Oreochromis niloticus: one gene and its partners. The protein of the gene in region 2 purifies or fractionates together with the protein of the main gene of each other region. This does not show direct contact. Links are inferred from orthologs where the notes say so. Each region holds a gene or a part of one and is shown on either strand. Other genes may lie near its edges. The genes, in order: serine/threonine-protein phosphatase 2A catalytic subunit beta isoform, strip1, slmapa and sike1.

Region 1 (8,446 bases), on a different chromosome or scaffold from region 2:
ACACTGAAATCTGTTCCTCAAATCTTTTCCACACTTTGATACAAATGAAAGAAAGAATTTGGACAAACAGCCACCTTTCTACACCTGTGCCCTGCAGAAACACCATCAGCGGGTGGAGAGCTCATTTAAAAACAGGCTGGTGCTCACCTACACGTGCTGATACCTGGAAACTGTCCATCATTTCACAGCTTGTTTCTTCATGCTGCTTTTATGGGTTTTTTTTTTTTTGGGGGGGGGGTTAAGAGCAGCCTGGAGGTGTTTATGAGGAGAAAGGAGCCTGTCACAGTTTACAACTCCACTATCTAGAAGGCTCCCTGGGCTGGATATTGTCAATATTGTCAAAGGTAGAGTCCTAGTACCGTGGCTCTGTGAGCAGTGCAGCTCAGGTTAACACAGAACTATGGATGCATGTAAAATGTTAACCTGAGCTCCGCTCCACCCGAGTCACAGAGCCACATCTTCACTCTGAAACACATAAAGGACCGATGACCCATAAACAGCTGACTTGGATTAGAATCTAATCGTTTGATATCAGCTCTGGTTTTATCTTCTGCTTTTCTTTTTCCTCGTGACTTTCATTTTTCCATGAATAATCAATAATGACTTCGGAAAACTCACCTCCTGAACGTTGGACTCCTTGGTCAGGATCTCCTTGGCCTGTAGAGGAAACAGATTTAATGAGTGTCTTTGGGTTGTTGTTTTTTAAAGGAATCACAGCTCAGACAGTGGGGGGGATCATGTGACGAGCTGATAGGAGGTGAAATCAAACTAAGCTCCTACGTGCCCAGAGTCACACACACACGACTGTTTTTGGTTTGTTTGTTTGTTCCTTCTTAAGATTTCAGGCCCACGTGACTGTTTGGAAACCTCTCCTCACCCCCACAGCTCTTTTACATGAGTGAGAAAATAAAGTTGATCTTATTTTAGAGTTTTAACCATCAAACACTCAGCAGCTAAACTTCCCTCCTTCCCATCAGAATTCATAGGATACACAGGTTACAGCTGGGACTGCCTCATTTTTGACCAGCTAAACACGTCATACACATGTGACATTTAAGCTGTCATTTTTTTTTTAAAATTCTCTTACTGATAAAGTGAAGTATTATTAATTTATTTTACTGGAAACTGGAAACAGCTAACCGGGCAAAATGCTAAATATCTTTTTATGCTGTACCAACAGTGTCCTCCAACCAGAACCCTTCAGAACAGCAGGTTATAGTTCCCTCTATTCGAAATAACACCATCTTTGTTAGTCAAAATGTCAGAAATATCCAAACCTTATACAGCCCTTTGTTAAGCACAGTAAACTCATCAACACTGAGTCATCAGCTACACGTGGACTTGCTGTGTGAGGTTCATTTAGAGCAGGAAAAACTTGATGCAATGAATCATGCAACAGCTTAAATACCTGGAAATATAAAATCAATAACCTTTAAAAATTTACCCACCTAAGGAAAAAGTCCATAAACATGTTGCTGGTTTTTATTCAAATTTACTGCAAACAACAATGTGTAGGAAGAGGAAAATAAAGACTTATCAGTACTTTTTACATCACTTCAGCTCCACTCATAGCTGAAAGATGACAGCATCTATCTACAACAGGCCAAACTTCATTCATCTCATGAATTTTACTGTTATTAACTGTAATAAGAGCCCCCTTCAGTAACTGATTAGTTCATATGAAGTCAGCTGGCAGAACCTGGCTGGGCTCAAACCTCCTCACCCATCTGACCAATACCACCTGGATACTTTCATTTCCCCTCAGGTTACTGCAATAATCTCCTAATGGAGATCAATCAGATATGAGCCAGTCTGTGCCATGTTCATCATACCTCCATTATATTCTTCTGTCCTTCAAATTTCATGCCATGTTTATCCAGTTTTTACTTTGAGACTTTCATCTTTTTATTATACTGAAAATCTAAGAAGACTAAACGGGGACACCAGAACCTGTACTATGAGTCTCTTTATTTATTTATTTTTTTTAACATCTAAACCATCTCTGACTCTGCTGATTAGCTAGAAAGAAAGAAATGACTGATTAGTACAGACGGTTTCAGCCCTCATTTAGATGTTAAATGGCATCAACAATGGATTCATCTTCATGCAGAGAGCATAATAAATCAGGTTACAGACATTTTACGTTCTGCTGTCTCGGACGTGGATTTTCAGTTTGATGGGCATTTTCTCTGTGAACATCGCTGCTATAATAGAAATGTCTTCAGATCAGATCATTTAGTCAACGCACACTTCTAAAAGTATGCAACGAGGAATATTTCGGGTTTAATCGCTTCGACAGAGGACGAGAGCCGCCACACGGCTGCACAAACGGCTCATTTTTAATGGTGCAACCAACCTGCCATTTATGCAATCAAATGGTTGATCAATACATTAAGGGCGCGGTACTAATCGATCAATCGCGACACACATTAACAGATGATTAGCCTTAAGAGAGAAATAAGAATAAAGCCCCCTACAGTGAATGGCTGAATCAGGCTGAATCCCGGCCTGTGCGCAAAAAGCAGCGCAGGTAATAACCGGGCAGTAAAATGGGCTGCGTCTATTTCCTGGCACTGGGCAAGAGATGCGATTTTTCGGCCCGTGTGTAATGAGTCGACGATAGTCGGACAACAGTTCACAGTGGGGATTATTTAATAGAAATACACACATATATATCACACCTGAAAGGGAATTCTGACTCAGAATGCGGAGGACAATTGGGCGCAAACAGCCGCCTCGTCGCTCCTTTATTCCGGAAATTAACCGGAGCCACTTTCGCAACACAGGCCGCGCTGGACTGAGCCAGGCCTGCCGGGAAATCATGTCAAAAACTTTGGAACTTACCTTCTCACAGAGCGTCCGGACTTGGTTTTCCGATAGCTGCTTGCACTCGTTTAGCTGTTCGATCCATTGGTCTAACTCTTTAGTGAATGATTTGTCTTCCATGACAGCCGCGGTAGCTCGCTAAGCTAGCTGTGTTAGCTACCTGAAGAAACAAGCGGGCCTGTGTCTCTACGCTAGCTGCTAATTTAGCCTTTAGCTCTTCGTATTGTTAACCCACCGGACCGGTTGGAAAAAAATCACCGCAACAGTTTAAAACAACGACCTGTTTAATCAACTTCTATCATGATAAATGACCGATGTTAAGATACCAATGTTAAAAACACGGGTCTATCGGCCGGGGGAGTGAAAAGGATCAAAAGTCCCCGATGCGGCAGAGCGTAGCGGCAGAATACAGCGGCGTCGCAGCGGCTAGCCGATTTGCTAAAGGAGCTAGCCACAATAACATCCGGGGATTTAACCAGCGTGTGGACTCAGCACAGCAGTGACACCGTGTGGACAGACCTTGAATTACGGCGCGAATGCGCGCCACAACACTACTAGTACTAATACTAACACAGTACAAGTACAAAACTACTGCTGCTACACTACTACATTACTGCTGCTACAGCTTCATTACTGCTACTTTCACAGTACACCTACATTACTGCAATACTATAACTACGCTATTACTACACTATCACTACTGTTAATGAGGAGGTTCAAAGGAAAGTTGAAATTGTTAACCTCATGAAATCAACCGGTCAGAATGCAAAATAAAACAGCCATCAATCTGTTGCAGTATATCAGAGTTATATAGTGTAACTTAAAGGGAGACATAAGCTGTGTCCCAAAACGTAGGCTGCATCCTCCTGAGGCCACATTTGTAGGCCGATTACATCACAGCGGCGCAGCAAAGGCTGTCCCAATTCGTAGACTCTTCCGAAGCCGGTCGACAAATGCGTCCTCCTTTTCCCCAGATTTGAAGGATGGGTCGGGTGTGTCCTTCGTGGCCCACCATATCCCAGAATTCAGTTTCCAACAATGTCAGCCGCTACTAAGTAATAAGTACTCTTATTACTTTTATGTATTTAAAAAAGTAATAAGAGTAATATATGTATATGTAATACTTTTATGTCCACTGTGAGCGACCATCTTTGAATCCGCTCACACCCTGGGCCATCTGACCTCAGGAAATCACATGATAGGGTGGGGCTAGGTTTCACAATGAGCTCACCCGAAACCCTGGCTGATTGTGACCTACACCCATTTTCACACCTTGGCTCATGTGATTAGGTAGAGGATCATTAGGAGGTCCATTGTCCCTCTAGGGGGGGACACTCCCACAGGGTTTAAATCAAAAAACAAAAAACTAAATAAACTTTTAACATATATTCAGACAAGAATGTAGCTGTGTAAACTTCAAATATCTGCTCGGTTTATCAAGACATGACATATTTGCAAAAGTGCTCCGACGTTTTCGGAGACGTCTGTTACCCACCAGCTTGATAGCTGACTGGGGGTTCAAGGGTCACTCGAGCCGGCGAGAACACCAGACTCCTGGCACATCGTTAATCGTTCAACATTCAACACACGACACGGAGATGCAGCTGGTCAGAACGCTCTCTATGGTGCTCCTGTAGAACACGGTGAGGATGGGAGGAGGGAGGTTGGCCCGCTTCAGGCGTCTCAGGAAGTGGAGGTGCTGCTGGGCCTTTTGGTGACGGAGGTGATGGATGTGACGGAGGTGATGTTGAATTTAGGAATAAAGGTTTAAACTCAGGAGACCAAATCAAACTCACCTCAGCTGCTGCCCCATGTGGGAGTGTGTAAGTGACTGCAGTCCTTATATAATGTGTGCCAGGTGAGTGCAATTAAGGGCAAACTCTAGAGCCAATCGAAGGTGAGAAAGGGAAACAAGGTAAGTCAGGTAAGGTTAAGGCGAGTGAGGAAGAAAAACAAGAATCTTTGCAACAACTACTACTAGTAAACTACTACACTACAACTGCACTACTGACACTGCTACACTATTGCTAGTATTACTACAGTCACACTTCTCAAATCGTGGAGTGTAAATGTTTAACTGCAGACACCACTTTGACCTCTGACTTGTTTTTCCCGCTGAGACCTAAAAGCAGCGTCAGAGCTGTGCCTGCAGTCTGAAACAGATCCAGGATCACTTTTCCTGATCCGGTTTATCTGATCCTAACATCAGCAGTCACGTGAAGCTGGTTATGAGCTTGATAAGTCGACACAGGTTTATGAACCTGGTTGCAAGGGCGTTTACACGAAAGGGGCGGGGCTAGGAGCATCTTATTTTAAAATGTTTGGGTTTGGGGGCCGCTGCTTTTCATATTGTATATTAATGAGATATGTGCTATTTCAAAGTCTTTGAAAATAATATTATTTGCGGATGATACAAACTTACTGTGCTGTGGAAGTAACTTGGAACAACTTCTGAATGAGCTAGAAAATGAATTAAATAATCTGAAGACCTGGTTTGACCATCATAAATTAACATTGAACCTGAGCAAAACAAAATTCATAATATTTGGGAATCGCACATATTCTACTAATAGTAAACTGACAATAAATAACACTGAATTAGAGTATCTGAAATAAAATTCCTTGGTGTGATAATACATCACAAACTATCCTGGATTCCCCACATTACTCATATCAAAGGCAAAATATCGACGTCTCTGGCAATTCTCTACAAGGTCAAGGATCTCATAAATCAAACATCATTATATATTCGAGCACATGCATTCTGTAGACAGATATATACATGAAAACTTGATGATTTTTAAGTCTATCTATCTATCTATCTATCTATCTATCTATCTATCTATCTATCTATCTATCTATCTATCTAATTATTTGCAGCCACCAAAAATAAAAATAATAATAATCATGGAATAAATGAGGGATTTATTCAAAGAAACCTTTGCAAAGGGATCCACGCAGCACCTGCCATTGCACTGATACCCACTGTGGAATAACACACTCACTGTGTGGATGCTGGCTTTGTTCTGCTTCAGGGAGAATTCTTCCCACCTGCCTGAAACGCGCAGGTGCCTGATCCTGTACAGTCCAATGTAAATACATGTTGTTTATGAGGTCTTTGTTGTAAAGAAAAAAAAATGTAGTTCATCAGCCAAAAAAGCTAAAATCATAAAACTTTGATCCTTCCCAGCAGACGATGAGCGTTCATTTGTTCTGAGAGTTGTAGGTAATAAATCTGTAACTGAAACGCACATTTGAATATGTTTGTTCCTGATTTACTCTCAGTCACTGTGACGAATGTGACCGATGATCTATTCCTGAGTCTCTGACAGTTAACCTCTGACATCAGCTGCTCTGTGTGCACTGTTACTATAACAGTAATAAACAAAGATAGAGGATGCCGCCCGGTCGGGGAATCGAACCGTCACTACGGATGTAATATATTTTTGGCCACTGTGGTCTTCTCGCACCGTTTCGAGTTTGAGTCACAGCGTTTTTTAAAAACTTTCCACTTCCAGAGAAGAAATCGGACCTCAGAGCTTCGTGTTTGTTAACCACAGGTAAGAAACGTCGTCTGAAATAACAGTAAACCTGCAGGATAAATATCCAGCTGTATTTTGAAGGTCTATCGGATTCATGACCGCTAGCTTCCATCTATACTGATGCCCGAGACCTTTGGGACAATCCTCTGTGGACTGATGAGAGTAAAGGTGAATCTTTTGGAAGGTGGGTGTAGTGGAGGTATCAGGATAGACACAGCTGTGACACTGATTCACTCTTCAGCACTACAGTCGCTCCGGTGTGTCGGCCAGAAACACACTTAAGGCCAAATTGTCCAGAATATGGAAGGAGGAGCTTAAAGTTTGGTTTGAGGCAGTTTATTCTTTCACAGCGCGGTTCTTGTAGCTGTAATCACATATGGTTTTTTTAGGAAGTACACAATCAGTGTTGGGCGAGGTACTTGGAGTTATTTTCATAACTCAACTTCTGGGTAAAAGCTGTAGGTTGGTAAGTTGGTTTATGGTGAGCAAATATTGGTTCAATAGTCATGACTCTGGTAATGTGCTGAGTTCTTTAATTCACTCCACAGCTTGACTTGTCAGGCTCTGCGAGGCAGACCGTGGGGAAGTGGGGAATGAGGACCCAAATGCTGGACTCTTTATGCTGAACAGTGCGTTTATTTACAGTGCAGCAAAATGACAATAATTCCCCGTGTGCTCCCCTGACTCCCGTGTTGTTTCTTCTTCTCAAAAGTCCGTGCTCTTCACTCCCGTGTGTCGGCACACCCCGTGCTTGCTGCCCTCCGGTGTTCCACGCTCTTCCTGAGGGGAAATAACAGAGGCAGCTGTCAAGACACTTAATTCCAGTAGGCATACCCTCACAGACTTTAACTAAGCTAGAAGACTGACGTGGAGTCTCACGCAGCAATCCAGCGTAGAGGAGCGCTCAGCCACACTGCTCTGTAGCTCCCCCGACGATCCTGATCAGTTGCAGGTGTGTGATCCTCTCCCTCAGGTGTGGCCAGCCTCCAGGCTGAACACACCGACTTACACATACCCACAAACAGACGAGGGACAGCAGCACCAAAAATACACGTCCATAACATATTCAATAACCCTGGGTTGCTCGGACCCAGGTCCGTGACATGACTAATTCTGTTGGGTCATAGGTCGAGCAGCTTTGATCAAAATTAGGTCAAAATTTTACCCAACTGTTTGGGTTGAAGATAAGCCTCAGAAGAAGCCACATCAGTCTTCACAAAATGCCATTTTCAGCTAGACTGTGACCTGATCAGATCACTGGACTTCTCCACTACTATGAAATAAAACATGGAAAGTAAAAGGTGAATTCTAACAATTTGAAAATCATAGAGTTATTTTTGATAATGCAATTTATTGGTTTAATCTAGAGCTTTACCTGCTCATTAAAGGTCTTTTAACAGATAACACCAGCTAGCTTGTGATGAAGAAAATTATTCCTACTTAACAATGCTTGATGTCATCTTTTGCAGTTATAATTTGAAATGAGGCTGAGGTTGCTCTGTTTGACTAACTATTTAGAGATCACTGTATACAGAACAAAGGAAGTATGAGACTGGGTGTTGCATTTGTGGGACAAAGGTAAAAAAAGAAAAAGGAACACAGTCGATCTAAACTATTTAATTTAATTCAATTATTTAATTTAACCTAAATGACCTCTGTGTTGATAACAGCATCTTTTTATTTTAAAATTTAAAGGCAATGATAATTCGTCCAATTTAGATTGTTTAAAAAAAAGATAGATTGTGCTAATACTTTGACCCCCTTTTTTCCCTCGTTTACTAGACTGCACAAAGGGCACGCGCATCCCTGCGCTTAGCTCGCTTGCTACTAAAGAAAACGTGATGGCAACAGCAACAAACGTGAGTATTGATACTGCCACCACCAATATTTAGCCACCATCTTCAATCCTCACTCTGATACCACAGTAGCTTTAAGGTCCTCCTCTCCAAAGTTTACGTGTGTGTGTGTATATATATATATATATATATATTAGGGGTGCAACGATACTCGTATCGATATTGAACCGTTCGATACAGTGCTTTCGGTTCGGTATGCATGTGTATCGAACAATACAAAAT
Region 2 (8,103 bases):
TGAGCCATGTAGAGAATGGCTCTGGCAACCTTCAGCCTTTTCTCCCGGGCAGTGACTTCAAGACTGTCCAACAGGCGCATAGCGTGAGCTCTGTGCTGAGCTTCATCGAGCTCTGTCCACTTCTTATCAGACACTAAGCCACAGCAGAGGTGAAGAAAATAAACTAAGATGCATACTTGCTTCATCTTTTATTTGTATGGCTGACGTGTATGTATATTCTAAGTGCTTACCATGAACTCTGAATTCCTCTTCAAAGCACTTCCTATTAAGAGCGAACTCTGGTCCTTCAGTATAACTGTAAAGCTCTGCAACACACATGAAGAGTTCATAAATAATATACACACATTTTTAGGTGGTTACAGGTTCTTAAAGTGTGACACACACACACAGACCCACACACACACATACCTGACAGCTCTGCAGCCCACTTATCTGTGTCCGAATATTCAAACTCCAGATCTGGAGACTCAGACTGCCCCTGTGCACAACACACTGCAGAGGTTAGACAGAGAGGTACTGGATACAAAAAAAAAAAAAAAATTTAATTAAATGAATTAATGAATAAATCCAAGGCAAATTTAATCACATCCGACTGATGTTAAGAAGTCACATTACCCAAACTCTACACACAAACACATAAAAACCTATTTTCTCATTTAATAAGTGGTGGTATTTAGTTAGTACTATTTAATTTCCTTTCCAAAATTCTCCATAACAACAGCAACATCATCAAGAGTCAAAGCACCAAAATGTCCAAGTGACTCTTGCTAAGAGAAAGTGGTGGAAGTAGCATTTTGATAATTTACAATATCAAAAAATAAATTTGACTAGGAAACCTTCTGGATTAAAAGCCCACTTATGTTAACACATGTAAGTCAGTAACTTGTACTTCAAGTGTGTAGTAAAAATGTCCCCCGTTAGTATTTTACTGTTGGATTAATATTTCTCCCGCATTAATGTCTTTTGAGGCTTTTTACTGCTGATAACGCTGGTTGAGCTAATACATTTTTGTTGGGTTGTTTTATCTACAGCAATGCATCATAATCACTATGATCTTCCTTTGTAGAGTACTTGAGTCAATGCATTTAGCTGCATTTCCCCACATTTTAGTATTTAGCTACAGGTGAAACACTCCTCTGTGCTGGCAGCTACTCTCTAACAAAGCTTACATCTTTTAACATCTTTTTTTTTAATCAGGCATGTTCTCCACCTTATACATGCCTATAAAGCACAGTATAAGGTATAAAAACATCCGGTTGGCAACAACAAGCAATACTGTTAAAGTAGTTCAGGAGCACAAAGTAACAAATAAGATGCAATCAAACACTGCTGTAATAGCACTGTGTCCTGTTTAAGACTGAGTGCACCTGAGTGGTGGGAGTGGTGAAGGTTATAAAACCTCCACTTTCAGTCTGCTTACTCTCTTTGGAAAGTTTCTTCATGACACTGTTGGTTTGTTGGGTTACTTAGTTCTGGAACACTCAGTCAATTATATTTTCAGTTCTCCATAAACACCGTGCACAGCTGATGTCAGTTACTTTAACGCCTCACTATATTTTGGTTACATAAACCGCTTTGGGCACTGTTTATTATAAAGCTGTACCAATAGTAGTAGTAATAAACTTGTACTTGAGTATCTATTACTGACAACTCTATAATCTTTTATTCTATAATTTACATTTCAGACAAGTTAATGTAGTTTCTGATTTGTAATATAAAGTTTATGAATCAATAAACAATATTATGTGTACCAGCTGCAACACTGAAAGCAACAGTAACACACTGAGGCTGCCATCATGAAGCATTACTGCAGAGCTCCTTCAGTGACAGACTGCTGCATCCTAGATGCATGAAGGAGCGTTTCCGCAGGTCCTTCCTCCCTGCAGCTGTCAGACTGTACAATCAAAACTGCTCCCAACAAACATAGATGTTTACATCAGTGCTGTAACAACTTCTACTGTTATAACTGCACATTACTTTTCTCAGCTTATATATACACTAACTTATTGGAAGTTACATGTCTACTTTTTAATGCACAGGTACAATACACAATCTGCACTTTTCTAATTATTCTAAATATTCTTAACTATTTAAACATCTTTCAGTATCCTGCTCTGTTTGCACACTATCTGTACGCTAATTTTAACAACTGTACTGTACTCTGCTCTGGTAACTATTGTCCATGATGTAAATATGTAAAAATTGTGTTTTTTGTTTTTTGTTTTCTGTTCTGTGTCCTGTTCTTTTTGTATATGTGTGTTTTTTTGCTGCTGATACAACCAAATTTCCCCTTGTGGGACAATTAAAGGATTATTCTATTCTATTCTAACTAAACACAAGAGGATTTACTATTGCCACTGTGAGCCTACTTTCAAGAAAAGACTGGAAATAATACACCTCTTCAAGACAGACAGGGAAGCAGTGCTGCCATGACTGTCTCCAGTGGCTATTTAAACCACTACACGGAAACACTCAGCTTGTTTTCTTTAAACGTCACACAGATGAGTGACCAATTTGCATATATACAGTAAAATTACACTGTCATAGCCGACTGTCGCATTAGAAAGATTAAATGTGTTAAGCAGGACCTAAACAATCAGTTTTCAACAGGTCCTTAGATTCCTGACACATACACAAGCCTGGCCTGTAGCCGGCTAACGTCAGCTAGCTGTCTCCTGCTCGCTTTTCAATGTGTTAACACTGGAAAACAAACGGAACACCGTACAGCTAAGTACACGTACAAACACCGTAATGAAGGTCGTTTGCTGCTCTTAACTCCCGAATCATGTTAGAAACACTAACTGGGCTACAATGACAGAGCTAGCTAACTTTACACTAGCAGCAGGAAAGGCCTCGTCTCTTTAGCTAAAAAAATACACGCTGGAAATCAACCATAAGCATCTGGATACGTACCTCTGAATCTTTTCTTTGATTGCGGGTAAATTCGCCCCTGGTTTTGTTAGGTAACATAGCTCTCTGCTTATTGTTTACAGGCAGCCCACTACCGTTTCCACCGACGTCCATAATTTTTTGGGGCCCAGTGAACTCTCGCGAGATGCGAAATGGAACGCGACAGTCGAACTCCCGTCAGCGCATCCGCAGCATCTTGTCCGAAGGTCCGCAGCAGCGACCCGAGGTGTGGTTGTGGAGAATTTGTGTGAAATGAATTTCTCTCTGCCTCTTCATGTAATCCCGAACTGACGCCATGATGATGAGATCAGAAGTCGGAGCAGAGCCTGCTGCAGGTATCATTCTGGATGAAGAAAGTTCACAGGATCTGTCGTACTGTAGAATTAATGCGGGACTACTCAGAAACTTCTCTTCTACGTGATGGATAAATATCTAAAGATGATTAAAATTCTCCAAAACATTTTTAATTAAAGAAAATATATAAATAGCATTTTTTTTTTTTAAATTATGGATGAAGGTGTGGTCAGAGGTTTGCATTCACTTATCATGGTGCATGCATGTGATGGTAATTTTTTTGTTTTAAATTATTTATTTGGGAGGGGTTTTTTAGCTACTGGAAGGGACTTCCCAAAGCCCCGAGCTAAGTCCTGTTTCCTGGCTCTTGTTGACTTAAGAGCCAGGAAACCAACCAATTTAAATGAAGTCTACATTTCTGCCAAGAGTGGCCTAATATTCGGCCAGAATTATGTCAAAAGCTTGTTTATGTCTACCGAAAGCATCTGGTCGAAGTGCAATTTACTAAGGGACGATAATATTTTGACCCTGTGTGCATTAGAGAAAATCCCAAATAAATAAAAGCTTGTGCAACCAGTTTTTGTTTTTGTAAAGTCATTAAAGATGTATGCTCTACAATCTTGTTCACAGGATATCATTAAAAGCCCCAAATTGCCGCATCATTCATGCCCATGATGAGTAGATGTAAATTTCTAATCACAACTGTAACCATCATAATTACATTATTTTTAAATGGTAAATGGACTAGTTCTTATTCAGCGCTTCTCTACTCTGAGCACTTTACACAACTAGTTCACCCATTCATACAAGCACTTTTTCCCCCCTATGCTCTTTCTAGGTAAGTGCTTCCTGTCCAACATGCACACACATTTATACTTTGATGGATGCATCAGAAGCAACTTGGACTTAGTATCTTGCTCAGGGATGTTTGGTATGCAGACTGGACCAACCTTGCAATTAGAAATGACCTGCTCTTCCACCTGGCATACAGTCACCCCAGTTAGGGACATATGCCTAAATAAAATTGTGTGTTCATTTCAATCAGAATAAAGAAAATTATTGTTCCATTTGGCTCACTGTCACTGTTACCCACATATTTTTGCCTGTGGCCTTAGTGAGCGAATAAACACTCACTATCTGTTTATATGCCTCTCTGCATTTAATTATTAGTTAGTATTCATTTCTGGCTCTCCACAGCATGTTTTTGTCTCGTCTTCCTCCCCTCATCCCCAAACAGTTGCAGCAGATGGTTCCCCTTCCCCTTCCCCCCCCCCAAGCCTGGTTCTACTGGAGGTTTCTTCCTATTAAAAGACAGTTTTCCTTCCCACTGTTACCAAAGCGCTTGCTCCTAGGCGGTCATATGATTTTTGGTGTTTTCTGTTTTCTTTGTAGGGTCATTACCTTACAATATAAAGTGCCTTGAGACAACTGTTGTTGTGATTTGGTGCTATATACATTAAACTCAATCAAATTGTGTAAAGCTTATTGTCTGTCTGCAGGAAAATGATGTTTCTGAGCCATTTTCAAATTTAAACTGGAGTTTATTAAAGGAGAAAGTGAAGAGAAATTTAACAAGCTGTATTCAGTTGACATTATGAAACAAACTAGAAACAAAGTTGAAAAATAAGCAAACATTATAGGTACTATATAATGTAGACAACCTTGTATTCAAATGTAACAATGTACAGCTTCCAAATCACAGTGGTATGCTGATTAACTTCAATTTAACAAAAGTCAAGCTGTTTGTGCCAGTAATATAACATTCATTTGTCTCTATAACAGAGGAACAACTAGGTTAAAGTGACTGTCACTATTAGTTATAAAGCGAAGCATTTTCCGAGTGCCATTATGAAAGTAAATGTACCATTATTACAAGAACATAGAGATTAAAAAACCCATCACAATAAATGTAAAAGGTAAATATCAGAATGTAAAATGCTGCTTATTCAAACTGTTTACAGTAATTATTAGCATAACTTTTTATGGAATTTGTGAAACACTGACTTTTCCAGAAGAAAGGCTGAGGATTCTTTGCTGCATAGCTATAACTGTATATTGCAGGGTAATAACTGTGACGGGCATCAACATGGATAAAAAGGAAAACGCACAGATGGTCCATGTGAATATAAATTACTAAGTGAGTTACAAGGCACTGTCAACTGATCAGTAACCATGGTTGCAGCACTCCTTTTACTGAAAATGATGTCCTCCTTGGCTGTAATGCCCTTAAAGCTGTTAGTGCAAAGATGAAAAGCACTTTGCAGTAGCACACTGTAGGCTACTATTCAATAAACAACAGGAGTAACTGGGAGGTGGGGGGGGGCAGCCTGCTCATTTAAAATTGAAAATTACTGCACAAATGAAATACGCAGTTTCTATAAATTCAGGTTTATGCTTAGTGCGGTGATGAAACAGGATCCTCAGTCATGTGGAGCGTTACTTTAAAATGGTAACAAGGTGTCAAACACTTGAGAGGAACAGCAGTGCTGTCAACTGTAAAGAATTAATGACTAGCGACCATCCTCTCGTACAGCACAATGAAATGTGTTGAAGAGCTGCAAGTTCAACAAGATACAACTATCTGTGTAATACCTAGTTTAGACATAAAATGAGTCGCTCAACTCAGTCATCCAAAGTGCCCACTGTTTAAAAAAATATCACATGTGAATATAACAGAGTAAATGTGAATTTGCATTTAACAAGCCTCACAAACATTTACGCCTCACAGTGCGTAAGCCTTTAAAATGATCATAATCTTCTGGAAACACACATACTGTGTTGGATTAGAATAACTATAATACCACAAGATAACAGGAGGTAAAGCTAATACAACAAAGCTCATCCGTGTCTAGTCCCAGAGCATTTAGGAAACGACAGTTACTTTTCTGTTGTTAGCATTCTTTAACAGAGTCCTGAGACAAATCTAACAAGACACGGCATTACGAGAGCAGCTCATCAGAGGCTGCTGTATGTACAGTATAAATGTGCTGTATGTAACATAACCGCCAAATTCAATTTACTCTGAACAGCTAAACCTGACAAATGACATGGATCACAGACATGATTATATCCCTCCAATTTACAGACATGCTGTAAATATTCAATTCAAAACCAACTGATTACGCATGAATACTAAGATTAGATAGTGCAGATGCGTTGACATATATTTACAAATAATTAGAGATATTTGAATGCCCTGAGGTACAGATATAACTCTCACCAAACACCAAAACCTCATAAATGGACAAGTTCTTTTTCAAGAAAAAAATATGACAAGCTCTTACATTTACTCTGCTCAACAAGCGCTTATGTTTCTGTTAGGCCCAGTGAAGGTTAGCACTAATTGTGAGGATACTACAACAGGAGTGTATCTTGTGTATGGAATGTATAAGGTGATTAAGTGCTTTAATATCAAAGCAGGAAGAAACGTTTAAAGCAGCACAGAGCAATTTCTGACCGCTGGACAGTAAAAATACTCAGAGGAACAAAACTTTGATTTACAGTCAGCTCATCAGGTTATTATGGCTCATCTGTAAGCAAACGATTGCCTACTCAGCAGATACACAGGAAAAACTGATTTGACATCTGATTAATGCCAAATCACTGGCTAGTTTAAAAGTAACAATAAGTCTCATATTGACTGGCCTTTCAACTCCGATTTGGTCCACCTACTCCTGAGATAGAAAAAAAACAAAAACAACCAGGAGTTTAAATCATGTCACATTTTTTTTGCAATTGTTGGCTTATCTGTTTTTTAAGGAAAAGACTGCAAACAGTTTTAAGCACAATATTGATGAGAATGCCAAAACAAGGAGCTAAAAGTGCATAAAAAGCACAGTAAGCTCCTGAGATTCCTGGGTTTGGCATTTTAAGTGACTGTTTTGCAGTACATGGAGGGAATGATTATACAAAAATAGTGCTCCGTGTGGGTTTAACATGTTTAACAACTAATATTTCTGAACAACCACAACCCTCCTCTCACAGTCATTTGGCACAATATGCTGATATACTCAACAGCTTTCAGAATGGAAACACATGCAATAAAAAAAAAAAATCATATATTTTCCTTTTTTTGCATGTGTTATCTCACATAAGCAGAGTGCTTACACCTCACTTTTCATAGCCAGCTTGGGTGCCATTGGTAAAGCAGCAAAACTTTCTACAGTCACTAAAATACAAGTAAATGAGCTATGCATCCCATGAAGGGTAAAAAATACAATACACAAATCATTATTTTGCCTGGAAGTCGGGTACTAATCAGGAACCGTCCACATGCTGTTGTTCTCAGGTGACAGACTAATACCTGTGAACAACAACAACAACAAAAACAGATAATGTGAATGAAACACAATTCTTAAAAAATGTTTATGTGTTGGCAAACAACCTAGTGCAATAACAATAAGTTAATAAAAGTTTCAAAATATTTCCCCATTTCAAAATTTTAATATGTGCAAAAGTGTACCTGTAGTAATTGGGTTTAAAAGGGCCATTCTTATTCAGACCCAGGTATTTTGCCTGCTCGTCACTAAGCTCTGTCAGGTGGGCATCAAACGTGGCCAGATGCAGACTCGCAACATATTCATCTGAAAAACAAAGACATCCTTTAATAAGAAAGAAATGGGCGCACACACAGAAGATGTGTATCTGTCAGTTCATGCACTCCATTCTTGCAGCCGTCCATAAATAATGCCTGTCGGCTTCCAACGTGTAAATAATACAGGCAGTGGTTAAGTATTTAAATCCTTACCCATCTTTTTGGGAAGCAAGTAAACATCTTGCTTGTACCGTCCCTCTGGAGCGTTGTACAGCTCGATGAGTGCCAGAGCCTGAAAACATACATCAATAACACTGCTGAAATATAATTGCAAATCATGAATTTAATGAATAGCGCAGGATTAA
Region 3 (7,824 bases), about 6.2 Mb from region 2:
TAGCTAAATTGCTAATATACGTTAAGCTAGGCTAAACCAATAATTAGTAATTATGCTACATTTTTCTTTAAATAAAACTTACCTCTGAAACGCTGAGCTTCAGCTTCGGTGACATCTAAGCCCCACTCTTGTATTTTTGTTAAGAGTTCCTCGGTTGAAAGTGAACAGAGCACACCAGGACTTGCAAGTTCTAATCCATCTCCGTCCGTTGATAAAACAAAAATGGCACCTGCTGCATTTACAGAAAGTTCTAGAATCCACCAGCTATTCGTTGAGTTTCTTCTTCTACTTTTTGTTTGATGTTGTGAGGATGGGCTCAACTCGCACTCAGAGTTCAATAAGGGTGCTTTTTTGCAATTCATCCAAATAGTTATACTTTAAAAAAAAATCACTCTTAAAAAAAATGTTTAAATGCATTTTTACTTTTTTTCTTTCAAATAAATTCATTGTTCTTAAAGCAGCTTAAAAATAAGGGGGGTTCAGGGAATACAAAAACAACAACAGCAATGAAAATAATAAAAAATAAAATAAAAACACTAAAATATATGCTTAAATCAATACAGTTGCAAATAAATTACTGTCAAAAAGAATTAAAAAAAAAAAACCTCTAATCAAAAAGAGCTTAATCAACCTGTACTTTATCTTTTGAAAGAATGGGTACAAATAAGTACTTTTCACAATTAAGGAACATGTATGTACCTTTCAGACGCTAAAAAAGGTACAGACAGTTACCCCGAGGTCCAATATTTGTCCTTAGACTGTATTAATGTCATTTTTGTACCTTGGGGCACAGTAATGTACCCCTTCCGTACCCCTATTTCTGACTGTGTAAAGTAATGCAAATTTAAACCAATTCATACTAAATGACTTATATATTGTGTTTGGTTTTAAATATTCCTGCATTTTATATCTTGAGCCACAGAAAACCGTATTTGATCTGTCACTAAATAAATGTAAATGTACATTGCTTTTTTACATACTTTATTGTCATATGTTTAGCTTTTTAACACAATTATTCTTTTTTCGTATTTTATTATGATTTCGGGGTTTTTTTTTCATAAATAAAGTATATGTTATCCCATGAAAAAAACAAAACGAAACAAAACAAAAAAACTGTGCATACTAAAGAGCTAAGTTATCAACTAAACAGAAAATAAATCAATTAAAAAATCCAAAGTCCAAGTGAGACCTTTTTGGGGATGTTCAAATATCACATGGTACAAGCATGTAAGTTATAATGAATGTAATAGTTTCTTATGTTTTTATACATTCTTATGTTTTTGTATACAGTTTCAAATGTAAAATATTCACATTGATAACCTGACATTAGTGATAATACATTCAATATCCAAAACACTTTCCATCGATAGATAATGAAATGCAATGAAAGAGATCTGGGAGCACACAAACCCCAACATTTATCAGATCACTAAAGAGTGTTGTAATTAAACTAAGATGTAATGGAGTTCAGCTTCTAAGGCTTTGTATCCCACAAACAGCCTCTGTTAAATGGACATAGTGATGTCAAACTGGGCTAAGAAGCTAAACACAGTAAGATGCTGTTAAATCTCATATAATAGTCAGACTGTTAGCACAGTGACAGCTGGTGCCCTGCTCTCTGTGCAGGAGGGCTGGGCAATGCAGCAGGGACCACGATGGGGTCTATCCCACAACCAAAACCTGCACCAGGAACACTTTACCGGGAAACTCCAAAACTTTAAAATGAAAACCTATAACAAGGGTATCAAATACAAGGCAGAGGAGCCAGAATTGGGCCGCTACAGTCCCTGATCTGGCCCACTGGATGGCTTTGGAAAATGTGAAGTAAGGCATACATTTTGGACTGCGCTGTATTTTAATAAATTTAACTTTTTGTCTTGCTGATAAACCTCTCCCATGGCCATTCATATTGCACCAAAGTATTTGCTGTATTTGTGCAATCTCTGTTAGTTTATAGTATATGTATAGTCTTTGTTACTTAATTATAATCCAAATCCAATTTGGGATCTGGACTTTATTATACTATCTGTAATTAAGTAACAGACAAAATTAAATAACAGAAAATGTCCTGTTTTTTTTACTATCAGCTATAGAAATTATGTTCTTTCCGTAAAGAACAGAACCTTTCTGTTTTACAGCACAGTCTGGGGAATGATCTACCCACAGTTTAAAATGACTTTAATATCACTGTCCTATAAGGTCTGATGTTTACATCGCAGGAGTCTGTCAGTCACTCAGTCCTTATCTCGTCCTTCACTCTGGTATATTTGGAACAGCCTAATGATCAGTCTGATCCCAAAGTGAATCCTGTTTCAATCCTCTGCCCTCTTAGACCTACTGAGATCTCAAGCAACAGTACAAGGTCTTATTCCCAGAAACATGCCCTTTTCTTGTGATGAACTAATTTACTGGCTTACATAGCTCAACATATGTTTTTCTTGCTGGGATTTGTTGTGAAGATTGATTCCCCGTGCATCTTCTTACAGTTTAGTAATATGAACGAGGCCAAACTAAACAGCCATGCAAGAATTTAAATATTCTGATCTCATCAAACCTACTCAGTCTTGGACATTTAGAGGAAAAGAGGCTGAAATGCTTTACATCTTCAACCTCTTTAGGCCCTTGCTCTTCTCCATACACTTTGGAAGTAGGTGAATGTGGAATGCACTGAATATTTCTCACTTTTGAAAAATTAGGGTCAGAGTGTAAGGAGTTGATAACTCTGTCTGACACCAGGCTGCTTTTCGGGTTTCTTGTTTTGAGGAAGTCATTTGCTTTAATGTGCATGTGGCCCTTTAAATGGTTCAGATATGTTTCTGATCATGCTGGAAGGTTTCTGCATGTTTCGTTACAGCTCTGCTGTATTATTGAGGCTGATTGAAAACAAGGACTAGCAACAATGGCTTGAGGTTAGTTAGGAAAGCAACAACTCAATAAACTCTGAGAAAAAGTTTAAATACTGCAAATAAGTTCCTTCATTTTAAAGGAATATTAAAAAAATGCCTGTGACCTCTTGACTAACTTAATATGAATGAGAACAGCACCAAACCTGTCTGTCTCTTTCAAGAAAAGTGTTTTTTCCCCCCAAAACTGATGAAACAACAACATTCCCAGTCTTAAAAGTTAGTGTTCAAACTGTTCAATTAAATTTTTAGCTCTTCTTTTCTCAGTAAAGTGTGTAGACTGAAGCCTGGTCACAGTTCAGCTGCTAGAAGCAACAATTATATTTTTTATACTTCCTTATAACCAACAAAAAAAATTGATGTGGAAAATTCCAAACACTTATGGAGAGTAATTATGAATACTTTAGTCACATGCCCTATAAATTATGGCTGAATCTAAGAAGAAACAGCAAAGCTTTGCTTTGTTTTTATCTGCTTTACAGTCTCATCCACCATCGATTTAGTCTCAGCTGTCTGTTCACCAGAGCACCACAGGGACATTTCTGGGGCCAGAAGCAGAATTTGATCTCCTGTAAAACCACCCCCAACCTGCTGTCCTACCCCTAAACTGCATTGCTAGGATAACGCCCATCTGATGCAAACTGAAAAATACTGCTCTGATTAATAAACTGCAGGTGATGAGAATCAAAAAGGTACTTGAAAAGAAACCAGATGATTTTTTTTAAGCAAAGTAGATAAAAATCTGTTCTGTTTTTCCTTTCTAGGTTATACCATTTATTAGGACTTCCATATTTCTTAAGGAATTAATATATTCAGGCCTGTGTAACGGACAATGAAAAACAACAAAAAACAAGAAGAAAAGTTCTGAAAAAGAGACTGAACAATAATCCAGTTTCCATATTTAACACAAAGCAGTCCATGTTCTTGAAATAAAAAAATCCACTCCAGTAAAACAGGGAAACCACAGCAAACAATAATAAAACAAAACAAAACAACAAAACAGAGAAATTGTGTGGTTTACAAAAAGCAGCTTTTCTCAAAGATCCATATTCTAAACAAAATTCAGCCCTTTTGCCTTTCAGGATACCGTTTCATGGAAGATTTGACATCATTTGTTTTATCTTGTGTTTAAGGTTTGGTTTATGAGGGTTTTTTTCACCAAAACAATGCTTCTAGCTTTTATGTTAGCTTATATATTTGTGTTCTCCTGTATATAAACTAAGTAGAAATAGATTTGGGTCTATAGTAGAATTTCTTATGAAATAATTTCCTCACACGTCCCTTTGAGCTCTGAGGGAGTTAGCTACATTTGTATTTGTGTGTTAGTCTGAGGTATTTTCACTGTCTGGGTGGTTTCTAGTCCTCCAATCTTTGCGCAATACGTTTGGATTTTCATGTGAACTCTTGTAAAGATGATGTAATCAGATTATAGGATTTTTGTATAAAGTAATTTTCTTTATCATCATTATTTGAAGAAGTGTTTGTACGTGAAATATGTTGATGTGCTTTAATACCAACTTTGTAACACCTTACCCGTATGTACTTTTTTTTTACATTTAAAAAAGTGCTTATAATTTTATCGTCAGTGTTAATCACGTGGTTATTATTTTTTTTAATAATTCATAATTCTGTATGTATCTATGTATTTATCTATTAAGCTCATTACTTTTTCCGAGTCTGACTTAGTGAGCTCAGCAGTGGGTGGTGCTCATGTCACCTGGTCAGTGAATGCATCCCTCCGGCTGTCTATCGTTCAGTGAACGCACCACCGCTGTCTGCTCTCTAGTTACAGTATGGCGGCTGGGACTTGCGGAGGAGGACAACTTCTTCTAGATTCCTTCCACAAAACTGTTGGAAGGCGACGGCATTAATATAAAACTTATAGCGGCAACCACGAGGTACACTGCAACAGACGACAGCGGCATAACTTGTGTTTCTTACTGGGGCTTTCCCCAGAAAATAATCGGACTGGTGTGTGATGCGTGAGGACCCGCAGTCAAGAAACTCCCCTGATTTTTCCGCGTCGGTTTCTGCTCTGACTGTCAGTTAGCCGGCTAGCTGCTAGGTAGCTCCCTTCAATGCTAACGCTCGCCTGCAGAGCTCTGTGTTAGCAAAAAGAAGCGCTAGCGTGTTGCTTTTATTTACTCCAGGTGACAGGGATGGTATATCGTATCCATTTGGTAAGCGGACTGGTTGAAAAAGATGGGGAGAAAAAATTTGTGGACCTGGACGATAACTTTGTCAGTACTCATTAGCCTAGCCTAGCTTAGCCTAGCTTTCTGGTACAACGCCAGAAGAGAGTTAGCGCTTCGCCTGTCCACCAGCGAGTTAGCCAATTAGCATTTCAGTTGCACAAGACGACCAGATAATCCCCCCCTGTTCATCCCGGTGGATGGTTTTGAAACGTCTCCGCTGACTAATTCAGACGAAGAGTGGGCACTGAGCTGCTTTAGTTTTATAACTCAGGGGTGTTTTGGCGTTCAGGCTCGCTAGGTGTTCTCTGGTAGAGGGAGTGGTGAAGGTAGGGAGATAGGAAGGTAGCTAAGGTTCCCTGCATCAGGGCAACAAGGTCACTCAGATTATGACGAGCCATACATGTCAACTACACTTATAGATGACACTTTAGTAAACGACAGACGCGTGTGTGTTTGTGTGTATAGGGTGATGAACGCTGGGGTGTGTGCCTGCTGTTAGCTTGCTGCAAGAGAAGACAACACAGCTCAGAAGCGCGCAATAATTGGACCTACTGCTCTTGATAGGCGTTAAACAGACAGTTTAGTCAGCACAGAAGGAGTTTGATGGACGTGAGGGGCTGTCAGTGCTATACTCACTCATGTATGTCTTGACACATGGCAGCTTGGTCTGTACATAGTGCCTGCTGTCACATATAAGCGTCGTTATGTAGCTTCGGTGGGCAGTCAGTGAGGGGAATGTCCTGTCTTTTTTTTTATACCTGTTGGTTTGTTTTTTATTTCTCACACATGAGAGAGGACCATGTTTACTAGTTAGTGCCTAGAAGATTAGAGGACTAACGTTTTAGCCTACAGATAGGCCGCAGATATTGTAGATTATTACTATTTTTTTGGGAGGAGGGACTGCACCAGAAAAACCTGCCACTCTGGATCAAGAAAACTTGCCCCTCGTCTCTGGTTGGAGTAATACTCTCAAGCCAAAATCAATGCCTTCAGCGCTGGCAATATTCGCCTGCCGACCCAACTCGCACCCATTCCAGGAGCGGCATGTGTACCTGGATGAGCCCGTCAAGATCGGCAGGTCGGTGGCTCGGTGCCGGCCAGCCCAGAACAACGCCACCTTCGACTGCAAGGTGCTGTCCAGGAATCACGCTCTGGTGTGGTTTGACCACAAGACTGGCAAGGTAAGCGGCAACAGCACTGAAAATGACCTCCTATTGCTTTACTTTGGTGTTTATGTGGGCCTACAGTAGATGGATACTTTACTTCATGTCTTCTTGTGGGTTGGCCATATAAAGAGAACCACCAGTGAGAAATATCACCTCATTGGTTTGCATCTTTAAATAGACAGGAATAAAAGGCCTATAAAGAGGAATTTTGCAATGTTAGCTGCTCATCTTGTTTACTTATATTTTCCATGGATGATCCCAATTAGCTCACAACCTTTCTTTTACTGTGTAAATAAGGTTATTACCTAAGAGCTTAAAATATAGCAGGAGATCCAACTTATTCCAAACTGAATCATGGTAACCCTTACATCAACTTGGATTAATTTAATATGCCTTATAATTGTGACTTGAAGATTTATAAATAATGTTTACCTTCATGGCACAAGGGAGCAGATTTTAATACAGCTATCATTATTAATACTAATAATGATTGCTCTGCTGTGGATTTAACAGGCTGCTGTTCAAAGTTTGAAATGTATCAGCAGGTTGTGGGATGAAATGAAGAAGCAATGTTAACAACGTTAACACTGGCATAATCTGTGTCACTCTTGTCAGTTATGCTGATGGATTTGTTTGTGTCACTATGAACTGTGGGGAAGCATTGTCTCTTTAGTAATAAAGAAAGTAGTGAAGCACTTTTTTTTTTTTTTAAGTGTTTAGAGCAGGGGTGGGCAATTGATTTTTCCCAAGGTGGCCACGTGAGAAACTGTGACACTTGTGGAGGGCCACACCAATAAGCTGAACTCAGTTCTGCTCAGTTTTCTCTTCTTTTTCTCACGTGAGCCCTCGAGAAAATGTATTTCCCCCCACAGTTTAGAGAGTTCAACCAGCACTTCTTATTGCTTCCTTGTCATTTCTGTTAGGAACCTCCATAAGAACAGCTGATGCTGTGACTGTAGTCAGGGCTTTTTCTGGCTCATAATAAACTTTTAAGGGAGTGGGGCACTAAGCAGGATTACTGAGTGTGTAGTTGAGGTAGGGAGGCTTACTTAACAAATGTGTGCATTTTCCTGATATTGCCCAGCTTGCCTAGCAAATTAAATATGGCTTTAAAACCACTTAATTGATAACTCTTTGTTCTGTGGACTGATGCACCTGAAAGATTTTGGAGAAAATCTTCACACGCTTACACATGTTTTTAAATTTATTTAAGTAGTTGACTTAATCTGCTATCTAAAATTACATAATTGGAAAGGATCAGGATCTACAGATGCACCAGTTGCAATTTTCTTCAATTTTAACTGATAGCATATACCCACTCTGCTTCAATGCAAAGTTTTACTTTCATAATAAAATAAATTATTAAACTTAAGAATTTTCCCGCAAACTGCAGTACATTACAAGATCTTCTCTCATTGGAAAACTGAAAATAAAGTGCTCCGTCACTGGAAAGAGTTACAAATAATTGAATGAAAATAAGGTGCTGTACACCTACCTTTACCTGTCATATTTTATGTAGGCAAACAATGTCAAGTTCAACAGATTTATATAACAAAACAA
Region 4 (8,358 bases), on a different chromosome or scaffold from region 2:
TTCTTATGCAACCACCCAATGATACACCGCTGGATGTCTGCAAGGGTGAAGAGAGGAACAAACATAATAGGTAAGGCAGGTCAGCCAGTGTGCCAAGTGTCACAAACAAAAAGGAAAATAGCTGCAGGCTTTAATCCCAAGAGAGGATACAAAAGGGGGGAAAGGGGAAAAAAAAAAAAAAAAAAAAAAAAGTAGGGGGGGTATGGCCTGAGAACGACAGAATAGGAAGAGTGTGGATCAGGTAAGGGAAGGCAAGTAAATCATTTTCAAACAAAACTGAATGACTAGTTCAAGTATTTGGAGGTGGTGGTGGCTCAGTGTGCAGTGGTGCTGGCTTCTTTCACGTTTTCAGAATAGTTATCTTTAACAAAAGGACAATGTAGAGGTCACTAAGATCAAATCAAAATTTACATTTCAAATCAAAATTTTACACCAAGTATCACTTCCTGCACTCACTCCACCAAAAGGATGTGATGTCACATGGAGAAAGCAATAAGTATGCAAGATTCAAGTCTAACCAAGCACTGCAGTAGCTTGGAACTGGCTGCTGCAAACAACAGCTTAAAATATTGGCCTACAAGTAGAGAAATTTAAATGAGGTCCAATAAAAATAAATAATAAGTCCAACTTTGAAAAACAGAACGCATTTGTGTTTAGTGACTGAGGGGAAAAAAAGAAAGAAAAGAAATATAAATAAAACATCATCCTCGGCATACCACTGCACTGTTTTGGGGCAGTAAGTGTTATACAATCTGTTTTTAAAGCATGTGTGAATCATGTAGTGCATCTATCAAATGCAGATTCTGAATCAGATACCAGTTTTATAAAAATATTAAAATCCAAAAGAGGGTACTGATAATGCAGAGAGGTAATGATGAGCAAAACGTGTGGCAAAACCAGAAGTACATTTACAGCCATCATAAACACACTATGAAGGGCTTCAACTGACTCGAGACCTACCTTTATTGGTCGCCTTGTGTCTTTATCTCTCAGGATTTTGATGAACTAGCAGTTTTTGTGGACCTCTTCACGCACACAGTTGAACACGCACACTTGTTACAGTTTCTGGCACAAGTTCTAGATCGTTGCATAAAGTAAAAAATAAAAAAGGGGGGGTGGAGATAGAAATCTAGAGCAAAAATAAAACAAAAGGCAAAGGCAGGTGCAAAAAACACTGCTCAGGAAAAAGGAGGGGAAAAAAAGAGGGGGTAAGTTGGGGAAGGGAGCTATGGGAGTGGGGAAAAGGAAAAAAACAAAAACAAAACAAAAAACCAACAACAACAACTAGCAGATAGCAGCCCACTCCACACCCCGGTGGTGAGTCGGCGGTGTAGTGAGGATGAGGAGGGCTAGGAGCAGCGTTGGGACGTGTGCTTTGTCAAAGCTGTTGAGTAGGCACAAACTTCTGGTTTCAGATCAACTATGGTCTTCTCAGAATATGCTTGGGCGCAAGTTTGCTTCTCTTCCACTTCGCAGTTGGGATGATGTGCGTATTCTTTGGTCGTTTCAGGATTTGGTTACTTCTTGCGTTTAAATCCTTGAAGTGATCCTTTTTCACCAACGCTTCTTCAGTGTTGACTTTGTTTTGGGAGGTTTGTCTTCAGTTTCTTTGATTTGATCTGAACTTGAAGCAGTTGCGGATGGTACAAAAATTCAGTTCGGTTTCACTTCATACTGTTTGAAGGGGGATGAAGAAAAAAAAGAAGATCTGGTTAGATGAAAACTTATCACCAACTCCACTGATCTAAATTTAGGTTAAATACAAAATGGCCCAAGGGCTCCATGAGTCTGGAGTGAGGGAGAAAAATTAGACTGTCAGCTAATATGACTATTCTATCACACGAAAACAAGTAAAAACCCCAAGCACTGGCAGCCTGAGGTTTTTTGGGAACATTTGATTCTTTAGTCACACTCAAGTACAAAAATAAGCTTTCCTCAAATGCCTCTAGATACAATGCTAGGCAGCTGACAAGTACTGTGGATCAACAAGTCCTTGTGCATACCTTCAGTTCAGGCTATGTTATTTATGGCAACATTTCAGACTAAGGCCCTCTGTTTCATCATTCAGCCCCCCAGTTGTTCTGCATGCACACAACCTTACACATTTTTAGAGGGGCTAATCTGGCAATCAAACAAAGCATTGTAACGTGTGTATGACCTCTCCCCCCCCAAACATTTTTTTTCCAGAAACTCCAAGTAACATACAGCACACCAGAGCAGGATGTTGTTGACCTAAATACCCTGCTCTGAAAACAAGATAGCTGAGCCAACCAAGGACACATGATATCTATTCTGCTGTGACTATGTCGCAATGTCTCCCTTCTTACATCCCACTAGGTTAGAATATGAAGTTGTTAAAAGGCTCAAATGTGATTGCTACAAGGTTGACTACGTAAATGTATTAAAGGTTATGAGCCAGGAACCGAAGACAGCTTCTGTGGAATCCACTTTCGCCGGATTTTTTCTGCTTTTTATTTCGCAGGAAATGAGAAAAAAAAAAATCCACTCACGACACAACTAGCAGCGATTGGCCGTTTTAGCCATGGTTTTTTTTTGTTTGTTTGTTTGTTTATTTGTTGTAAAATTGGGACCAAACTACAGTTTGAGCTATTTGTTATTTAATAAACATGAGAGGGAAAGATACCTCTTATGATTGGACATTTATTAAACGACAGTCTTTTCTCTGGGCAAACAAAACAACCGCCCCGACAGGAACCACCATGTGACTTCTCAGCAATCCGCTATCCTCAGCTGGAACAGCCAACATGGCCTGATCCAACACGTTGCGGTATGCGACGCCATCGCGAACGGCACGTCTAACCAGTCGATGTCAAAACATACAATAAACTATAGTTCGTTAAAACCTCGTTACTTTAGTTCTTTTTTGCTCATTAAGCAAAGTAACCCGCACAATCACATTTAAGGATGTCTTATTGACCTTGTGTGGACAAACAAAACCTGACAGATTAACATTTCGCCGATGCTAATCGTCGTAAACAGCTACTACTCCGCTGTCTTTAGCAACACTTAAAGAAATTCTTCATCATTAACTTAACTAAAACGCATTCAGTTCTTTTGTAATTACCGGATGACTTAAATCCTGTGCAGCTTGGAGTCCTTGAACAGAAAGTTTGCTAATGGTAATTAAGCAACGGTTCAACGTTGTACACTGTACATAGAGATAGCATTTCGACTTCTCTTTCACATTAATGTTTAATGTGGTTTCGGACATCAGTCAAAATATATAGAATTTCTATGTATTAATTTAAATGGGACTGATTATAAAGAGATTTTTTTTTAAACTAGCAATCATATTATAAGGGAGACGTTTTTTAGAACTGGATCGTATCACACGCCAACCTGCAACACGGGCTATTTAGGCTAAACGGACAATAGAGTTAAGAACAGACAATGCCAAAAGTGACTGCCGACCAGGACAGTTCTTTAAAAAGTACTTATAATTATGTACATTTTAAATTTCTTGCCAGTCAAGAACAACGTTAAATATAAACACTCAGTTTATTCATTTTTTTTACGTCGATAACGCAATAATAACATTATCAGCGTTAACGGCACGAGGACGGAACAACAAAGAAGCTAGATACAAGCCTCGTGCTTAATTCTATTTAAATGCCATCTTTGTATCTAAAGTATACCATATCCATTTTACACACGTGCTTTTTCTTTACCAGACTCTAATACGTCTTAGAAAAAACATCACGCGCCTGTTTATTTATACCTTCGACAGTATAACTAGGCCATTGGCAATGCTAAGTAGCTAGTAGCGACTACGGTTAGCTAGCATGCCGTTGTACTCCTCGGCCCTTGTGTGATTTATGTGGAGCTGTAACAAGGCAGCCCCCACCCAGGCCCGAACTGTGCGTACGACTAAGCGCTGACTCACCAATTCACCTCTAAGTACTCACTGAACAAAAAAGAAAACTATTATTGATATATTACCAGTACACGCTTAAATTGTTCTGCTAAAAGGGATAAAATATTAAAAACTCACCCCAACAGCTTTCAGCACTGTCACCAGCGCCGCTAGAAGCAGCACGGCACATTGCGTAGAGATAGGGAGGCGGCTACCGCGATATTTGACGATACTAGGTAGACCAAAGATCCTAAAGCGAAGAGTGGCTACGAGAGGCGCTGATAAGAAACCGCCTATGTGCCGCAAAGGGACATGGGAGGCATTTGCGTTATAGTAACGTTAACATTTTATCTACCTCGCTGTCTAGACTGGAAAAAAGATATGTACGAGTAATCTAGTCGAGTTCAATAAATAATAAATCCATTAATTATTTGATTAATGAGTAAATAATAACTATCATGCCATTTAGTAGATAACTAAACTTAATAGGTGTCGCCATAACTAAGTTTTCTCCCCATACGGGAGGGTTTCTGAGACTACACGTTGCACAAAAACCCAACATAGGAAAATGTAACATAATGCTTCAGCTCAACTCAGCCCTTCACTCACTTTGAAATTACCCGATACTAATATTTTTTCAGCACTGTAAGTGTTTTACGTTACATTTTTACTTGAAATGCTGATAACTTTTAAAATTATGTTGTTGTTGTTGTTCATTTGTTTAACATACAACTGTTGAACAGTGAAGAAACAATATCCTTTTTTCTTTTCCTTTTTTTTAATGAGACGCTGTTGCGTTATGTAAAGATATTTTAAAGACCAATAGGCTTGATAGGTTTAGCCATTAACCCCGCTTTTGGTTGTGTGCCAAACTTCTACACCGCACTCTACCCCAGTAGGTGGCGACTCAACGTTAGTTTGACAATTCGCCAAAAGTAGGAGGAGAAGAAGAAGAAGAAGACGACGACGACGAAGAAGAAGAAGAAGAAGAAGGAAGTGTCGCTAACACTTTAGTTTTACACGGAAACGTCAGTTTCTGAAGCAGTAATATTCTAGTAATGTAGTAATATTTTGATCTGGGTGTCTGGTACTTGCACTGTCTGCCGACACAACATTAACGTTAAGTAGCGAAACAGTAAGGATATTTATGTTTCTATAATGGCACCGAGCTGCCTCGGCTAAGGTTATATAGCCCAGGTAAGCAACGGCTGTGAGTTGTTTTCGCTCTAGCTAGTTTTGTAGTAGCTTTTTTTACCTAACATAAAAAAGAGCTGTCACTTTCCAGTAAATGGCCTGCACTTTAGAAAAAGTGCTGGCCGATACTCGGACCCTTCTCGAGAGGCTAAAAGAGCACGACACAGCCGCCGAGGGACTGATAGAGCAGTCCGAGGCCCTAAATCAGAGAGTGCAGGGCATGAGAGAGGTGGGAAATGCTCTGCCAGACAAGGTAAACTCGAGCAGATAGCTCACGCTTATGAAAAGCTGCACTACTGCTTGGTATACACATTGAACTAGTTAAACAGTGACCTGTACTACAAAGCGAGTTTCCCTCGTATCTAGAATATGCTTTCGTGATATGCGTTCGCTAAAGTCTTCTTTATCTGTTTCTTCTCTGCTCTTTTCTCAGCACACAGATGACAGTTCAGAGATACAGGAGCTCACGAAATACAAACCTCATGTCCTTCTGACTCAGGAAAACACTCAAATCAAGGAACTGCAGCGGGAGAATAAAGGTAAAAAAAAGGTTCTGCTGACTGACTGGCTGGTTTTATATACTAGTATTAACACTCTTTATGCCTTTGTAGAACTATGGCTGTCTCTTGAAGAACACCAGTACGCATTGGAGTTGATCATGTGTCGGTATCGCAAGCATGTGCTCCAGTTGATGATGGCAAAGAAGGAGCTGGACACCAAACCTGTGCTCAGCCTCCATGAGGACCATGCCAAAGTACATCAACTCTGCATTTCTTTAATTTGCTCACACGTTTAATGGGCTATGATTCCAAATACATAGACACACAAATTAAAAAATAAAAAAATAAAAACAACAAACTTGATTTCTGACTCTTTTCCAGGAAGTGCAGAGCCAAGTGGAGCGGATATGCGAGATGGGCCAGGTGATGAGAAGAGCAGTGCAGGTGGATGATAAGCACTATTGCTGTGTTCGAGAGAGGCTTGCTCAGCTAGAGGTGAGAAATGCAGTTATACATGGACACAATGACACCTTTCCTCATGAGGTCTGTGGAAAAATATGTGATTTTACCACAGACCTCAGACATCAGCTTCTGTGTCAAAATGACGGAACGATAATAGATGATCATAACTGCAAATGAGAGCTGAGTTGTCAGCTAGCATCAAGTTTTTAGTGGGATGGTTAGGTTTAGTGCATCAGGTCAAGGAGCATGTTGTTTTGTTTGGGGTTTTATTAGGTTTGTTTTTTTATTACAGTCAAATAGGTTGTACAAGGGTTATAAAAGGGCCTTTTAAACCAGTCGGTTATATTTCTTACTGTAGCATCTTTGTGATAACCTTTTGTGAGCTCTCTAAATATGCTACAACTGTAAAGTTTGTTGAAAAGGTACATTTTCCCAAACAGTAACAAACGTGTATTTAAGAATATAAATGAATAAAAGCATTCAGAACAATAGCTATCTTCCCAGGAGTGGCTGTTCTAGCAAATTCAGCCACAGACTGTGTAATGCTCATGGAAATGGCTAAAAATCCAGGAGCTACAGCTCAGACTCTACAGGGCTACGTTAGCAAGTTAAATGAAAGGGGGGGAAAGCCTCTTCCCTTTAAAAAGAACAAGGCAGCATTGTTAGTTTTGCATAACTGCAAGGCATAAAGTTTGTCCTTTGGACAGACCAGACCAGTGTGGAAATGTTTGGCTGTAATACACAGCAGCTCATTCAGTGAAAACTGTCAAACACACTGGTGGAGCTGTGATAATTTAGGGCTTGTTTTGCACCTGAGTACCGTGAACTCTTTGAATCATCCAAAAATCCCTCTGCGTACCAAAGTATCCTAGAGTCAAATGTGAGGGAAGTCTGTCTGACGGCTAAAGCTTGGTTGAAACTGACTCATGAAGCAGGACAATGATCCCAAACACAGCAGCAAATCTGCAGCACAATGGCTGAAAAAGGAAATCACAGCTTTGTAATATTTCAGTCAAGGGCCAAACCTCAACTCAGCTGGAACACTCAGGTGGGATCGTAACGAATAATCGTGATCCTCAATGTGCTGAAGCAACATTTGATCAGACTTCCTCCATAATGATGGATGAATAAAGTTGTACACGGGTTTTTACACGATGCTTCTTTTTATTAAATAAATAATGACATGTTTTATTGTTCATCTGGGGCTGTATTTAAATAATTTTTGTACCTGCTACGGAACTGATGATTTTTTTTTTTCTTATTAAGTCTTATTGATAAAACCTGAGAAATAAAAGAGGGTGTACTTTCTTTTTCACGTGTCTGTATTTGCTTTGGTTATCTGCTTCACCCAACATTGCCAAAGTGCAAAAAATTCTATCACAAATAAACAGAAACACTATTTAAAAGAGAAGATGTGATGCATCCATCACAATTTTCATTCAAAACCTGTATGCACGGGGAAGCACATGCATGTTATAAGGAAGAGATATTTAACTATAAAAGTTATGTTTGAACATTTTTTTTCTACCTTCAGATTGAGAACAAGGAGCTGCGTGATCTCCTGGAAATCAGCAAGAGCTCTGTGAAGACAACTAGCCAGTCACTAGCAGCAGAAGAAGGAGAAGAGTCTCCTCTGCCGGGGTCCACCGAGTGACCTGAAGTACAGCTGGGATAAAGTTCCACAGAACCAGGAGAGGGGGCTGATTGTGTCTTCACCTGTGTTCACCACCACATTATAGATATTGTTATTTTAATTTTATTTTTTTACATGTAACGAAATGCAGTCCAGCATGAGGTTATCACTCACAATACACATGTACTGCAGCAAAGGCAGTAAAAGCAAAGGGGATTTCTTTAGTTTTTAGCCAAAGACACTTTTATTCTCCAAGGATACAGTTTCTACCTCTTTGGTGCCCCTTTGCTGTTCACACACACAAACTTTTACAGTGAGTAAAGCACCCAAAACCAGCCCAACCTTTGAGTTCACTTGAAATCTATTAACAAGCCAACTTGTAGTCCACACCATATAAGAAGCTGTGCTTGCTGCCAATAAGATAACTTTTGGCTGTTTTAAACTTTGCCTGCTGAGGAGTAGCAGTGGAACCTTTGTTGTTGTGATGTTTTGGGTTTGATATGGTTGATTGTCTCAATATAAAACATGGTTTTCATGTTTTGGTACCTTAATTCTGTGTGTTAGACACAAGTTGTACAGTTTGCCGATTCAGAGTATTGCGTACCAGCTAATGGCACATCTTTGTTAGTGAGAACACTTTCAAACATGCCAGGGTTTTTTTGTGTAATGGATACCATGTTTGTACACTGTATGTT

Evidence for each region.
Region 1: the proteins of strip1 (region 2) and serine/threonine-protein phosphatase 2A catalytic subunit beta isoform purify together in Homo sapiens (affinity purification with mass spectrometry; 6 studies listed by BioGRID and IntAct, counting the BioPlex papers as one, with this or other methods). This does not show direct contact. The link is inferred for Oreochromis niloticus from reciprocal best matches to the Homo sapiens genes STRIP1 and PPP2CB.
Region 3: the proteins of strip1 (region 2) and slmapa purify together in Homo sapiens (affinity purification with mass spectrometry; 4 studies listed by BioGRID and IntAct, with this or other methods). This does not show direct contact. The link is inferred for Oreochromis niloticus from reciprocal best matches to the Homo sapiens genes STRIP1 and SLMAP.
Region 4: the proteins of strip1 (region 2) and sike1 purify together in Homo sapiens (affinity purification with mass spectrometry; 3 studies listed by BioGRID and IntAct, with this or other methods). This does not show direct contact. The link is inferred for Oreochromis niloticus from reciprocal best matches to the Homo sapiens genes STRIP1 and SIKE1.

Annotation. Positions count from the first base shown.
Region 1 is NC_031977.2:38,531,927-38,540,372, forward strand, and holds the start of serine/threonine-protein phosphatase 2A catalytic subunit beta isoform, read right to left. Parts: upstream 3,279-8,446; 5' UTR 2,947-3,278; coding exon 2,845-2,946; intron 658-2,844; coding exon 619-657; intron 1-618.
Region 2 is NC_031970.2:21,898,768-21,906,870, reverse strand, and holds the start of strip1 (striatin-interacting protein 1 homolog), read right to left. Parts: upstream 3,201-8,103; 5' UTR 3,025-3,200; coding exon 2,914-3,024; intron 479-2,913; coding exon 409-478; intron 306-408; coding exon 231-305; intron 134-230; coding exon 1-133. Other genes in the region: S-adenosylhomocysteine hydrolase-like protein 1, read right to left, coding at 7,501-7,507, 7,667-7,787, 7,952-8,030. UniProt on the Homo sapiens protein: Plays a role in the regulation of cell morphology and cytoskeletal organization. Required in the cortical actin filament dynamics and cell shape. Part of the striatin-interacting phosphatase and kinase (STRIPAK) complexes.
Region 3 is NC_031970.2:15,724,589-15,732,412, reverse strand, and holds the start of slmapa (sarcolemma associated protein a), read left to right. Parts: upstream 1-4,642; 5' UTR 4,643-6,081; coding exon 6,082-6,279; intron 6,280-7,824. UniProt on the Homo sapiens protein: Associates with the striatin-interacting phosphatase and kinase (STRIPAK) core complex, forming the extended (SIKE1:SLMAP)STRIPAK complex.
Region 4 is NC_031984.2:27,970,678-27,979,035, reverse strand, and holds the start of sike1 (suppressor of IKBKE 1), read left to right. Parts: upstream 1-4,822; 5' UTR 4,823-5,071; intron 5,072-5,143; exon of another isoform or gene 5,144-5,159; 5' UTR 5,160-5,162; coding exon 5,163-5,321; intron 5,322-5,501; coding exon 5,502-5,607; intron 5,608-5,679; coding exon 5,680-5,822; intron 5,823-5,949; coding exon 5,950-6,063; intron 6,064-7,564; coding exon 7,565-7,684; 3' UTR 7,685-8,358.